Linked DNA regions of Pelodiscus sinensis. The protein of the gene in region 1 interacts with the protein of each later gene in a pairwise test. Links are inferred from orthologs where the notes say so. Each region holds a gene or a part of one and is shown on either strand. Other genes may lie near its edges.

What was found.
Region 2: the proteins of HABP4 (region 1) and RACK1 interact in a two-hybrid assay, tested with the Homo sapiens proteins (2 studies listed by BioGRID). The link is inferred for Pelodiscus sinensis from reciprocal best matches to the Homo sapiens genes HABP4 and RACK1.

The regions. Positions count from the first base shown.
Region 1 is NC_134716.1:43,957,058-43,964,086, forward strand, and holds the start of HABP4 (intracellular hyaluronan-binding protein 4), read left to right. Parts: upstream 1-3,924; 5' UTR 3,925-4,134; coding exon 4,135-4,438; intron 4,439-7,029. UniProt on the Homo sapiens protein: Ribosome-binding protein that promotes ribosome hibernation, a process during which ribosomes are stabilized in an inactive state and preserved from proteasomal degradation.
Region 2 is NC_134742.1:1,208,757-1,216,144, reverse strand, and holds the start of RACK1 (small ribosomal subunit protein RACK1), read right to left. Parts: upstream 3,101-7,388; 5' UTR 3,009-3,100; coding exon 2,900-3,008; intron 1,550-2,899; coding exon 1,378-1,549; intron 25-1,377; coding exon 1-24. UniProt on the Homo sapiens protein: Scaffolding protein involved in the recruitment, assembly and/or regulation of a variety of signaling molecules. Interacts with a wide variety of proteins and plays a role in many cellular processes.

The DNA.
Region 1 (7,029 bases):
GGACTCCTCGGGGTAGACGACGACACACACAGATGGACGAAGGAGATCCAAGCAACACGAATGCTCCTTGGGGGGAGGCTTATAAAGGAGTTGAGGTGGGAAAATGGGTGAGAGGGGTGCAGCTAGAGTGGGCGGTGTGCACAAGGAAAGAGGGTGGTGTGCAGAGAAAAGATGCGCACGCATGACATAGTGCAGAGTGCAAAGGCCTGGAGCCGTGTGCATAGGTGACAGGGAGGAGTGCAAAGCCTTCTTCCCTATAGGTTTTGGCAGGAAAGCTGTTTGAGGGAGAAAAACCCCTAAGACTCCATTTTTAAACTCCTCAGACTCCATTTTGGATCTTTGCCTAGAGCAGCATGGTCAACCCATCTAAAAAGATACAGAAAGAGCAACAGAAATTATTAGGGGTAAGGAACAGCTTCCATATTGGGAGAGATCAAAAACACTGGGACTTCTCAGCTTTTAAAAGAAATAATTAAAGGATGGGGGATATCTAGTAAATGAAAATCAGGAATGGTGTGGAAAAATAAAATAAGGAAATGTTAGCAAAGAAATAAATAACATAACACAAGAAGCTGACCCAATTAAATTTATAGGCAGCAGATTTAAAACAAATTATTTTTTCACAATCAATTTGTGGAACTCTTTGTCAGGAAATGGTGGAAAAGCCCAAACTATGGCAGGGTTCCAATAAAAACAAAATAAGTTCAAGGAGGATAGGTCCATCTATGGCTTACTAGCCAGAATGGGCAGGGATGGTGTCCCTAGCTTCTGTTTGCCAGAGCTGGGAATGGGTGACAAGGGATCATGATGATTGCTTCTTCTGTTTATTCCTTCTGAAGGACATGGCATAGACCACTGTTGGAACATAGGACACTGGGCTAGAAAGACTTTTGGTCTGATTGCCATTCTGATCTTTTATAGAGCTGAAATGTATCTGCCCTCTTGCTGTAACCTACTAGATTCCACTCCTCTTCCAGAGCTGAGACAGAGCCCAGGAGTTCTGATGGGGTCTCTCTCTCTCTCCATAGAGTTAGTAACAAAGTAAGAATATACATTACAATTTTAAGGCTAACCAGTATCCCTTAAGTGACTTGCCATAAGATGTCAGAATATGTTAGTGCTAGAGCTGACCGTGTCTAATATTTATTTAATTTTCTTTCTTTTATATAGGAATTAGATACAGTGCTCCTGTCAGCTAACCGCTAAATTGTCTACCAAAAAAGTAGAGTTTTCAAGTACTTTGGTAGCCCCTGAATAGATGATGTGTATGGAGGGGAGAGCGGATGGGGTTGGTTCCTCCCTTCTCCATTAAGCGCTTGGCTTGTACTGACCATGCTCAGTAACATGGATGAAGTCTCCGTCCTCAGTCTTCCCCCTCCTACTTTCAATCTCTTCCCACCCATCACGGCCTGCACAGGTCAGCCTTTCCCACCAAAATCTGAAATGGGCACCCCTGGTTGGATGTATTATTGGTGATACCTCTCCAGATTATTGTGCTATCAATAGATCACCCAGGTTTTGCATTCACAAAGGAGTGTAGGATCTTGGTGTTCTGCTCTAGGTCATTCATGGTCTATGAAAATACATCATATAAATTTTCCAGAGAAATCACTTGCACACTGGATCCTGTGCTGGACCTCAGTGTTGATTTTTGTGCTTTGAGAAAGTTGGCTACTGAGGTAGCAAAAGTGCTTAACTATCTCCAGAAGTCTGATCTTTGATAGTGATTTGTGGTGGGTCATGTGCAAGACTTAAGCAACTTGACAGAACACTTTAGTTTTCTCAATATTGAGTGCCAAGCCAATATTGAGTGGTAAGCTTGGGCAAGGAAATTCAGTATGATCTGATGGTCATTTTCAGTGTGTGCAAAGATGACACAGTCATCAGCATAATGAAGATCAGTAATGGTCTCCCTAAACACTAGATTTCGAACAGAGACATAGAAGATTAAAGAGCTGCCCATCCATTCCATATTTTATGTCAATGAAATTGGAGAGGTGATCTTTAACGAGGATGAAAAAGACTGCTAAATACAGTATTTGGGCAATAACATATCCTTGCTTAATCCCAGTTTTGATGAAGAAAGGTTCCCTCTAAAGACCATTACAGAGAACTGTGGCAATGATTTGATCACAGAAAAACCTTAGAATCTTAATACATTTTGGAGGGTAACCCAAATTTGGCTAAACCCTTCTACAGGACTTTGTGATGGACACATTGCTGAGACTGGTTTGATGAGAATAATGCTGAGTTTCAGGGTCTGTTCAACCAGAAAAGAAAAGAACATGGCATGTGGTAAAATGACATACCCGCCGAAGAAAGAGTCATATAAGCAACTAAAGGCTTGAGACCAAAGGAAAGTCTTTGATATAAAAAATAAATGGTAGTGAGAAAAAGCCAAGGACTTTGAGCTTTATGCTATTAAACATGACACAAGGAGCTTTTTTCAGGTAATAAGGGCCATTTACAGTCCATGCTTCCGAGGACTCACAGCACTCTGAGCCCAAGATGGGTTAAAATATTTTAAGGACACCAAAGCCAGATGGAAGTAGCATTTTGAGCATTGTGAGTCAACTTTTTCTGATGCCACTAGCAAATATAAACCACAACAACATGAAAAAGAATCACTTGTTGATCTTCCCCTCTTGAAGAAGTAACATGAGCAATTATGCAAACCAAGAACAACAGGTCAGCAGGGCCAGATGGCATACTAATTGAAGTCCACAAATTTGGAGAAGAAGTGGCAAGGAAGATCCACAATTTTTTTCTTCATATCTGGTATAATGAGAAGATTCCAGAAGACATGAGTTACAATGTCTTGTCTCCATTCTTAAAAATGGTAACAAGTCAGAGTATGTTAATTATTGAGTTATTGCTTTGTTATCTGCAACAGGGAAAAATTCTTGCCCATATGCTCTTAAACAAATTACAGTACTTCCTCTTGCTGAAGAAATATGGCCAGAATATCAGTGTGGTTGTAGACCATCCTGTAGGACAATTGACATGATCTTCATTGCCTGCCAAATCCAGGAAAAGTTACTGGAGCAAAAGTAGGATCTACTTATATCCTCATTGATTTGACAAAGGCCTTTGACTCTCAGTCCCAAAGCACTTAGAGTATGTTGGTTTGCCCTACAAGTCTGGCAAGGTTTACACCCTCCATACACACTTTTTAGTACGCTCTCTACCTATAGGACCTCCATTTTCCATTAAAAATGAATCTTTTAACTCACTTCTAATTTTTAGGCACCCATTGGCATGTGTTTGCTGGACCTAATTGTAAATCCAGCCCTAACTACCAATAATAGGGACCCAGCTCTGGGGCTGTCCCGTACAATGCAGACACTTAAGTATGGTGCTCGAAGGGATTTTCGGTTGCAGTATAATCATCCCCTCCAGAGGTGGTCGTAGGTGGATGCAAAGATTCTTCATGCCAGCTGGCTGCACCAAGATGGGGGCTGGAATGATCTGTGACACTTTGGGGGCAAAACATCTCACAACCCTGAGAGGCGCAGGGAGACACTGGCCTGGCGCTGTGCGCAAAGGGAGCCCCGCCCATTGGCTGTGGTCTGCCGGGCCCGGGCCCCGCCACTGCCTGCTTCATCCGGGCCACATTTGCTCATGAATAATCAAAAGCGGCATACAGAATGATTTGCCACACGGGGGGGGGGGGGGGAGGAGAAACAGTTACATGCTGCACGCGGGCTGAGAACTGAGGCAAAGCTACCCGCAGTGACGACACAGTCACTTTATTGGTCGGTGGCGTGTGGCCATCCCATGGCTTTGATTGGCTCCCATGGCCCTCACTGGGCCGGACCAAATGCGCTGATTGGTTGGTGGCGCTTTACCGCGGCTGGGATTGGTTGCCTGAGCTCGCGGAGGAGGGGGGGGGCGCAGCGCAGTGCAGTGCGCTGATTGGCGGCGGGCCGCGAGAGGTGCACGCGCTTTGGTTGGTCAGCGGCGCTCGAGGGGACGGGACGGACCGAGTGGCGATGGCGAGGTTGTGGCGGCCCTGCTGAGCCGGGCCCGGCTCTGTGCCCGTCCCTTGCTCCTGCCCTGCCGCGCGCCTCGGTTGCGCCCTGGTAGCGCCCGCAGCTGCCGCCGCCGCCCGGAGGTGGCGGGGTGGCCGCGGCGATGATGAAGGGGGCGCTGGGCAGCCCGGTGGCCGCCGCCATGCAGGAGAGTTTCGGCTGCGCCGTCGCCAACCGCTTCCACCAGCTGCTGGACGACGAGTCCGACCCCTTCGACGTCCTCCGCGAGGCCGAGCGCCGCCAGCAGCAGCGCAGGAAGCGCGATGAGGCCGCCGCCGCCGCCAGGAAACCCGGCCCCGGTCCCGGCCCCAGGCCCGGCCCCGCCGCTGGCAAGAGGGAGTCCCAGAAAGAGCGCAAGGTCCTGCAGCCCGAGAGCCCTGCGGCGCCCGGAGCCCCGCCGCAGCCGGGTACGGGGGGCGGCCCGGCCCGCGCACACCAGCCGGGGCGGGCGGGAGACAGTTCAGCTGTGCTCGGCGGGGGCTGGTTGGGCGGTGGGCCGGGACGCGGGAGCGTGTGTCGGTGGGGGGAGCTGCGGGTACCTGCTGCTCGGGGCTGGGGCTGGCAGCGGCTACCGCCTTGTCCTGTGCCGGGCGGGGTCTCTGACTGATCGCGCTGAGTATCTCCGAGGATAGCTGTGAGGCCGGAGATGCTGCGCTGTCCGGGGAGGGGGAAGGGAAGGGAAGGGATCGGCTCCGGGCTCCTGAGAGCGGCACAGTGCGTTGCCCGCCTAAAAATAGGAGTAGGCGGGAGTCCGCCCCCCTCCCCCGCCTCGCACACTAACTAAAGGACTGGGCCCTGGTCACCTAGTGAGTCTAGCGATATGCCTACATACTGCCTGACTTCTATTTCTCCCTGACCCTAATCTTAGGATTGGCCTCCCTCCCTCGCTGTCTCTTGCTCTCCCGTGGCTTTTTCTGGGGGAAAAGTAACTTGGGGATCAGCTGCTTATTACTTTAAAGAGGCAATATTTAAGTCCAAATATATAATCAAGTGACTGTCTTGGTTCAGAATTAAAACAGTACAGTTGGAACTGAAATTGTACCACTGTTCAACAATGGGTGACTCAGCTAGGGCTAACAGTATATTTAGTTTATCCGTTTCATGTTTTTATTCCCATGTCTCAACAATTTTCAGCAGAACATCAGATTATGAGATGCGCAAACTAAACTGGGGGCGTGTGAGTTACAACCTTTACATTTTAGAAATATGTCTATTCTTTGTTGAAGGCTACAGTGCTTCTGATAGAAATGCAGGGAAACTGCTGTTAATAGTGCTGAAAATAAAGTAAGTAGAGGCATCACAATTTCAAGTACATGAGCCAAAATAATTTAGGAGAGTGGTGACATTGAGCATTTATTGAGATTGTCGTTACCTTTTATCATTTTGGAGATGAGCCTGGATGATATTGAAACATACTGAGTGATTTAAGGATCTAATTAGACACTACTGATGTCTGTAAAGTGATTTAGAAGAAGAGTGCTAATGTTACGAAGTTGGCCACAAGCATTTGTGGGTCTATAAACAGACTGCAGCTTGTATTGCATAAGCTTAATGGAGCCAGGATATTACTTTTTACGTTCAGTGTTGCAGAATTCCTGCCAGAACGATGTGGATATGAAAGTTCACTATTCTTTTCTATCTTGGTTCTTGTATTGCTTAAAGTTCTGTGGTCTCTGAGCACCTTATGTATAGAACTGGTTACCAGGGCTGCTGTTTGTTTCTAATACAAAGTGAACTGTGCATATGTAAATATGGTATATCTAGATATTGCAATGAATTATTTATGTTTTGGAGCACTATATTAGTAGTTGATTTATTCTGAGGGGTTAGTAAACTGAACATCGTAGGGTGCTTCTGTGTGGTGCTAGTCTTCTCAGAGCTTCAGCGTAGGGATGTAAAATCCTGTTTAGTTAACTGGTTAAATATTAAGTTTAACCAAGGGTGAGCGGGGAGGAAGGTGCAGGAGTAGCACCACTGTGGATGGGGGCAGCTCCAGCCCCCACTGGTTAATCATAACCTTATTGGTTAACTGTCAGAATCTCTGCTTCAGTGCTGTATTTTGGCTAGTGTTCAGTTGGGTAGTCTCTTCATGTTGATGAACCAGAATGACAACTTTAAGAACATAAACACCAGAAGTGCTAGAGAGCTGACTCAGACTTTTCAAGAGCGCAGCAATACCTAGTTTTGACCTCAGCTCTGTTTGTTTCTTGCCTACATTGCTGCATAATTTCACTCAAATATGAGCAACAAATCTCTCTTTAATTGATTCCTTTTCAAGTATGATATCAAATGAGATAGGAAAGTCTGTAATTTTAAACCTCTGTGGCCGAGCGATGCTGAAGATCTGTGACCATGTTTGTTGCATTGCCTGCCTTGATATTTACCAAAATGTTCTAGGGGGAAAGGTCAATGTCACCCTGAGCACTGAAGAAACATCAGTAGAACCTCAGGGAGTTTACAGTGAGACTGGCACTAGGCTGGCTTTGAAGGATAACTCCTGGAAGTTAATACTTTGAATTGGTCAAGACTTCTGAATGCTAAGATTTGGAGCTAGAGCTGCTTGAACAGTACAGGCCCAACTCTTCTCTGTTAAATTTGGCAGGCAGCTTTTCTATCAAAGTACCTTGTAATATTATCTTCAAAGCTGAAGGCTCTGCCAGGCATCTGTGATCACTGGTACTGCTCTTCAGGTCACAGGAGGAGCTAGCTTTCCCCAAATAGGGAGGAGTTACTGTAAAGTGTCTAGCACAGTGGTTCCCAACCTTTTTCAGATGGGGACCCATTTTGACAATTCAGGAAGACTTGTTGACCCAGGGCAATTAAAAAAAAGTGTGAATGACTCCTTAAGAGCCACCTGGGGAGCCACCTGGTGACCCTTTTGAAATATAATGGCGACTCATATTTGGGTCCCGACCCCTAGGTTGGGAAACCCTGGTCTAGTAGCACTCTCCTGCTCTGTATCTCTGCATTGTAGTCTCTAGTCTCTCCCGCTCAGTTG
Region 2 (7,388 bases), on another chromosome or scaffold:
ACGAAGCGGCGGGTGGTGGTGCCTCTGCATGGAGGGGAGGGGGAGACGCCCCAACGTCAGGCCCAGGCCAGCCCCGGGCACCTCCCTGCAACCGCCTCTGCCTCCCTCCGCCCAGGGCAGGAGGGGCAAGAATTACTGCTGGGGGCCCACTCCTAAAATGTGGCTAGTGGTCTAGGGCCATGCTCCTCCGTGGTATCATAGAATCATAGGACTGGCAGGGACCTCGAGAGGTCATCGAGTCCAGCCCCCTGCCCTCAAGGCAGGACCAAGCTCCGTCCACACCATCCCTGACAGATGTCTATCTAACCTGTTCTTAAATATCTCCAGAGAGGGAGATTCCACCACCTCCCTTGGCAATTTATTCCAATATTTGACCACCCTGACAGTTAGGAATTTTTTCCTAATGTCCAATCTAAACCTCCCCTGCTGCACTTTAAGCCCATTACTCCTTGTCCTGTCCTCAGAAACCAAGAGGAACAAATTTTCTCCTTCCTCCTTGTGACACCCTTTTAGATATTTGAAAACCGCTATCATGTCCCCCCTTAATCTTCTTTTTTCCAAACTAAACAAGCCCAGTTCATGAAGCCTGGCTTCATAGGTCATGTTCTCTAGACCTTTAATCATTCTTGTCGCTCTTCTCTGTACCCTTTCCAATTTCTCCACATCTTTCTTGAAATGTGGCACCCAGAACTGGACACAGTACTCCAGCTGAGGCCTAACTAGTGCAGAGTAGAGCGGCAGAATGACTTCACGAGTTTTGCTTACAACACACCTGTTGATACAACCTAGAATCATATTTGCTTTTTTTGCAACAGCATCACACTGTTGACTCATATTCAACTTGTGGTCCACTATGACCCCTAGATCCCTTTCCGCCATGCTCCTTCCCAGACAGTCGCTTCCCATCTTGTATGTCCCCCCATCACAGCCCCATCATAATTGCAGGACATGTCGTCACGCCCCCGGAGGGGGGTCGGCACAGACACACCAGGTCTAATCATTGGGACTGGGGGGAGGCGCCTCCGAAAATCCCGATGCCCCCCCGCCTGGATGTCCCCAAGACCGGCCATGTCTCGGCGGCACGGCCTCTTCAGGGGCAGGGGCTCCGAGCCGACCCCTGGGCGGTGCCGGTCCCGCTACCCCTAACGGCCGAGCGCACGTTTCCGGGGACCCAGAGCAGCGGGTGTGCGGGAGTCTCCCTCGTGTTTTAGACTGTACATTTCAATCGGTCACGAGACCCCCCTCCCAATGTTCCCCTGCCCCGTTTCTGGCCCCACTAAGGGGACCCAGAAGCCAAGGGGCTCTGGGAGGGGGATCCGGTTGCCGGCCTCCCCCCGTGAAGGGCGGGGCAGCCAGGCCATCGGACTCGGCACTCACGTGGTGAGGTCCCAGAGGCGCAGGGTGCCGTCCCAGGAGCCGGACAGGGCGAATTGCCCGTCGGAGGAGATGACCACGTCGCTGACGAAGTGCGAGTGGCCGCGCAGGGCCCGCTGCGGGATCCCGTAGTTGGTCTCGTCCCGCGTCAGCTTCCACATGATGATGGTTTTGTCTGCGCCCGGGGCGGGGGGGGCGTTAGTTCGCTCCCAGGGAGCTTTGGGGCCCCCTTGTCTCCCCAACCGGCGGCTCTTCCCATAGCGCTCTGCTCCCGCTCCGTCCCGGCACCCTCAGCTCTCGCATTCATGATCCTCAGCCCCCAGCAGGGTCAACGCACAACCAGTTTAATCATCGGGGCTGGGAGGAGGGGCGCAGAGCAGCCGGGCCCACCTGGGCAGAGCCCACCAGCAACCGGGTCAGCGCGGCCTGGCACAGCTCCGGGCAGGCGGACTCGGGAAGGCCCCAGGGCCCCTTTCTACGGGGCCACCCCCCCCATGGTGTTTGGGTCTCCACCCCCAGCCCAGCCCCCCTGCGTCAGCTACCTGAGGCGCCCCCCAACTCGGCCCTATCCCAGCAGCTCTACCAGTCACTGCCTCCCAGGTAGGACGGGCCTCACTGATGGGGAAACTGAGGCTGGGGGGAAATGCGGCCCGGAGGCACCCAGGGCCAGGAGGAGCCTCCGAGGTTGAGAGGCGCATGGAGGGGAGAGGGAATGGGGGGGGGGGGGGGACGGACAGGTGGGCGGGCAGGCCCCCGGCGAGGGGAGGAGGGGAAAGAAGAGCCGGGCACTGAACCCAAGCGCCCAGAGGCCCGGCCTGGAGCCTCCGAACCACCCCCAGGGGGGAATTTAACCCCCCACGCCCCAAGGTGCACCCCCAACCCCTTAGCCCCTCCCCCCACACCCCAAGGTGCATCCCCAACCCCTTAGCCCCTCCCCCCACACCCCAAGGTGCACCCCCGCCCCTTAGCCCCTCCCCCCACGTCCCAAGGTGCACCCCCGCCCCTTAGCCCCTCCCCCCACGGTGCACCCCCAACCCCTTAGCCCCTCCCCCACGCCTCAAGGTGCCCCCTTGCCCTGCCCCCCATCCCCTGGGGCCCCTCCCCCAGGCACCCCAACTCTGTGCCCCTCCCCCCAGCCACGTGGTCTGACCCACAAGACTGACCCCCCCCCGCTGAATGGTTCTTTCCCCTCCCCCCCCCGCACATGGACTCCCCCATTGCCCCCCTCTGCACTGAGATGGTCCCTCCCCCGCCACGTGGGCGAGTTGGTCTCTCCCTGCCGCTCCCCCACGTTTCCCCCCACCCGGGTGGTCTTTCCCGTCTCCCCCGCGCCGGGGGGGAGATGGTCTCTCCCGGGAGGGGAGGGGGCTCGACTAAGGAGATGGTCTCGCCCAACCGCCCGTGGCGCACGCGGGGGCAGATGGTGTCTCCCAACGGCCGCCCCGCGAGGGGAGCGCGCGCGGGCCGGGGGGATGGTCTCGCCCAAGCCCCCCCCCCGCGGGCCGGGGCCGATGGTCCCGCTCACCGCGCGAGGCCGAGAGGATCATGTCCGGGAACTGCGGGGTGGTGGCGATCTGCGTCACCCAGCCGTTGTGGCCCTTCAGCGTCCCGCGCAGCGTCATCTGCTCCGTCATGGCGGCGGATGGCGGCGGATGCGGAGCCGGACTCCCCCCGGCCTGGGCCTGCTCCCGGCGACGGCGAGAGCGGAAAGGAAGCGCCGGCCTGCCCCGGAAGCGGAAGCAGCCGCGGCTGCTTCCGTACGGCAAGATGGCCGCCCCCGGGCGGGAGCAGGGCCCGCAAGATGGCGGCGTTCTAATGGGAGCGACGTCTGCCGCGGAGCCATGGGGGCGGCCATCTTGGTTCCTTTTCCGTACAGCCCTTTCCCACGTGGGGGTGGGGGAGCTGGGTCTTGTGGTCTGGTTACAAAGGCCACGTGAAATAGCAGGGGGCCAATTAACATTAATTAATGTTAATTAATTAATTTTAATCCACTGATTCATTCTAGTCAATTAATGATCACGATGAATATGCAAATTAATCATCAGGTGAATATGCAAATGTGAGAGCTAATTAGCATGCAAAATAGGCGAGCTAATTAGCATGCGGAATATGTAAAATAATTCAGCATCCACACTGCCCTCTGGCGCAAGAGCTCCTGTGGAAGAGGGCTTACCCCTGTTAGAAGAGCGTGTAGCTCTCACGCAAGAAGCCCTCTCTTCCCACGCCGTGCTGTAAATTCCCTTGCGTGAGAGCGGGCGGGCCGTGTGGACGCTTTGCGGATTCTTCCGCAAGAACAGCCGCACTTGCGCAGGAAGCCGCGAGTGTAGCTATAACCTAAGTGTTTTCATAATCCATCCTACTAATTGTCCTTTGACTCCAATAAACCGTTGGCTTCCCGTAATGGCTGCGACAGTTGCTTTCAGAAGTTTATCTGTGAACATGCATTTCCTTGTTCCTGTTTTTAAAGTGTCCGCCCTTTCATTTCATTAGTTGCTCTTTCTCCTTCTTTGATATGAGAGAGAGGAAATCATAGAATCCTAGGATACCAGGACTGGAAGGGATGTCAAGAGGTCATCGAGTCCAGCCCCCTGCCCTCACGGCAGGACCAAATACTGTCTAGACCATCCCTGATAGACATTTATCTAACCTGCTCTTCAATATCTCCAGAGATGGGGATTCCACAACCTCCCTGGGCAATTTATTCCAGTGTTTGACCATCCTGACAGGCAGGAACTTTTTCCTAATGTCCAACCTAAACCTCCCTTGCTGCAGTTTAAGCCCATTGCTTCTTGTTCTATCCTCAGAGGCCAAGATGAACAAGTTTTCTCCCTCCTCCTTGTGACACCCTTTTAGATACCTGAAAATGGCTCTCATGTCCCCCTTCAGTCTTCTCCTTTCCAAACTAAACAAACCCAATTCTTTCAGCCTTCCCTCCTAGCTCCTGTTCTCTCGACCTTTCATCATTCTTGTTGCTCTTCTCTTGACCCTCTCCAACTTCTCCACATCTTTCTTGAAATGTGGTGCCCAGAACTGGACACAATCCTCCAACTGAGGCCTAACCAGCGCAGAGGAACGGAGGAATAAAAGCACAGAACCCTAGACCCAGCAGGGAACTCGAGAGCCATCAAGTCCAGTCCCCTGCCCTCACGGCAGGACCCAGCACCGTCTAGACCAGCGTTTCTCAACCAGGGTATGAGTCCCCTCAGGGGTACCCGAGAGACATCTGGGGGGTAAGTTTGCACCACTGAAATGTGGAGAAAACTGAATTTTTGTTTTAAGTTTTACAGCGTTGTATCGTTCTGTACTTTTCACACCGAAACATTTTATCACCCCCTCTGTGACGCTGAAGTTGTTTAAACATGTTGCAATGGCAGAAAAAAAACCATTGCGTTTTGAAAAAACTGTAGGTACTGGGGGTACTTACAATTTTTTTTAAAAGGGGTCCTCCCCCCCCCCCCCCCCCCGCATCCCCCTCCTGTTCTGAAACGTGATTTGTCCTTTTCATATTTGTTCATTTTTTTAATTGTATCCTTTGGTATATATGGTTGTGACTATTTTCTTCCACTAGTTGATCTGAGGAAGTGGGTCTGGCCCATGAAAGCTCATCACCTAATAAACCATCTTGTTAGTCTTTAAAGTGCTACATAGTCCTGTATTTTGTTTCATACAAAAAGATTGAGAATCACTGGCATAGGACCAGAAAACTTCAGGACCAGACTTCAAAGAGAAACTGCTGAGCTACAGCACAATGTAGCACTTTAAAGACTAACAAGATGGTTTATTATAATTATTATTATTATTATTTCTATCACTATGCTGAGCTACAGTTCATCTTCAAGTTTGACACCATCAGCTCAGGATTAAACAAAGACTGTGAATGGCTCGCTAACTACAAAAGCAGCTTCTCCTCTCTTGCTATTCACACCTCCAGATCAGCTACTAGAAGTGGGCCTCATCCTCCCTGATTGGATCCACCTCGTCATCTCCAGCCTGATCCTGGCCTGCATATTTATACCTGCCTCTGGAAATTTCCACTACATGCATCTGACGAAGTGGGTCTTTGCCCACGAAAGCTTATGCTCCTACACTTCAGTTAGTCTATAAGGTGCCACAGGACTCCTCGCTGCACTGGCATAGACCAGTTTTAGCCTAGTAATACTGGGAGGCAAAGAAACTGAAACAGTTCCCTTGGAAAAACAGTTTCGTACCATGGTATTTCTTTCAGATAACTCTTTATCTCTCCAGTATTAACAGCATGCAATAAACTTATTTGCCTTGACGTGGATGTTATGTGGAGAGTCTCACGTTGTTCAGCAGTATTCAGGTAGGTGATCTTTGCTCCTCTACATACCGTTTGGTCTGGGTTTTTCTCCCCCGGACTCACTCTGCGGCCTTTATTCTTTAGCCGAACATTTCATGTGAAATGGATCCTGGTCCTCGGAGGGCCACCGCTAAACCACCGTCCGTTTCGTACTTTGCCTGCAAATGATGCTAGAGCTATTCGCTGAGACCGGAGGCGTGTGCTTTCTTTCGCTGGCCACTCGCGTGGGGTCCGGGAGCAGAACCCTCTACCGTCACTAGCCCAGCGGGCTGCAGGAAGACGGGGAGCCATAGGAAACGACGTTCTTCTGCTGCGCTCTTGGTACGTTACCGGGGGATGTTTTATGGGATTTCCGGGAAGCTACTTTCTCCTCGCGGTCTCAAAGAAGGGGCACAGAGGAGAGTTGCGCCCTGTGGCCGGGTGTTTTCTGCTCGGGCCCCTTAATTCAGCACATTGTTCTGTTTTGGAAATGAAAACGAAAAAGTCCAAAGTTTGTTACAGTCGTTGCTCTGGGGCTGGGGGTGGGAGTGAGGGGTTCCGGCTGCCCTCGGTCACCGCAGCAGCTTGTGGCCAGGGGAGAAGCCCCGCTCCATGGCCACTGCAGCTCCAGGGGGCACAGCCGAGGGGAGAGGTGCATGCTCCCCACCCGGGGCAGATCCAGGTTCATCTGCCCCCCTGCACCTCCCAGCCAGAGTGAGAAAAGCAGCAAAGTGCACACTTTCCCCTCACGCCCTGAGGAAGGGGAGCAGCCAGACTTGTTGACCTATGAATCGAGGGGGGATTGTTTCAGCCCCCCCCTTCCCCAAGTGCCTACAAGGGTGGGAGGTTCGGGGCTGGGGCAGTCCCTGTTGGGGGGAGGTGCACTTTAACCTGCCTAGTGATTCTGCCTCTTTTCTGCAGGGTTTTCTGAGAACAGACAGACAGACACATCGACTGTCCCAAACCTAGAGCAGATCTGGAAGTTTTTGCTTGTAGAACCACCTCCCCCACTACCAGAGGGACTAGGTCTCAGGGCAGCTGAGGCAAAGTTCTTCCAACTGTAGTGTGGAGTTTGGGGCTCCAGTGGGGAACCTGGCAGAAGAGGTGGGGGGGGGGGCTTTGGACACAACAGGTTGGGGCTGAGGACCTGTCCCTGTCAGCCGACGGTCAGGGCAGTGTGTGTGTGTGTGTTTCCGAGAAAAGGTTTAACGTCCGTGTCTTTACTGCTAGGACCGGGGTCCCGTCGCAGAGGGTGGCCAGCAGGCCAACAGACGCCCCGTTATATAGGAAGAGCTTATTACACCTTAGATTTTAGCTGCTAGAACACAAAGTTCCTTCGCAGAGGGCAGCCTAGGAAAGGCTGGAAAGGTGCCCCAACGGATCTTGTCACCTGGGAGTGACACAGATCCAAACGCCCAAGCTCTCCCTATGTCTGTCCCTTTATGACCGGCTGAAGTTCTTTTAAATTGTGCTTGGTTCTGTTACAGCAACTGAAGGAGTCAGGTTACAGCTTAAACAGTTACAGGTTTATTAAAGAAGCTTATAAATCATATGGTTACAATGGCTATTGCTCTATTTCTTAACTGCTAGCAAATATATATATATAGGTCTTAAAAATGATCACAGGAAAAAGGTAAAGATAGAAAATAGAAATAATGGTACCAAGTGACAGCTTAATCTTTAAAGAGCTCTAAGTCTATGTATATATATACTT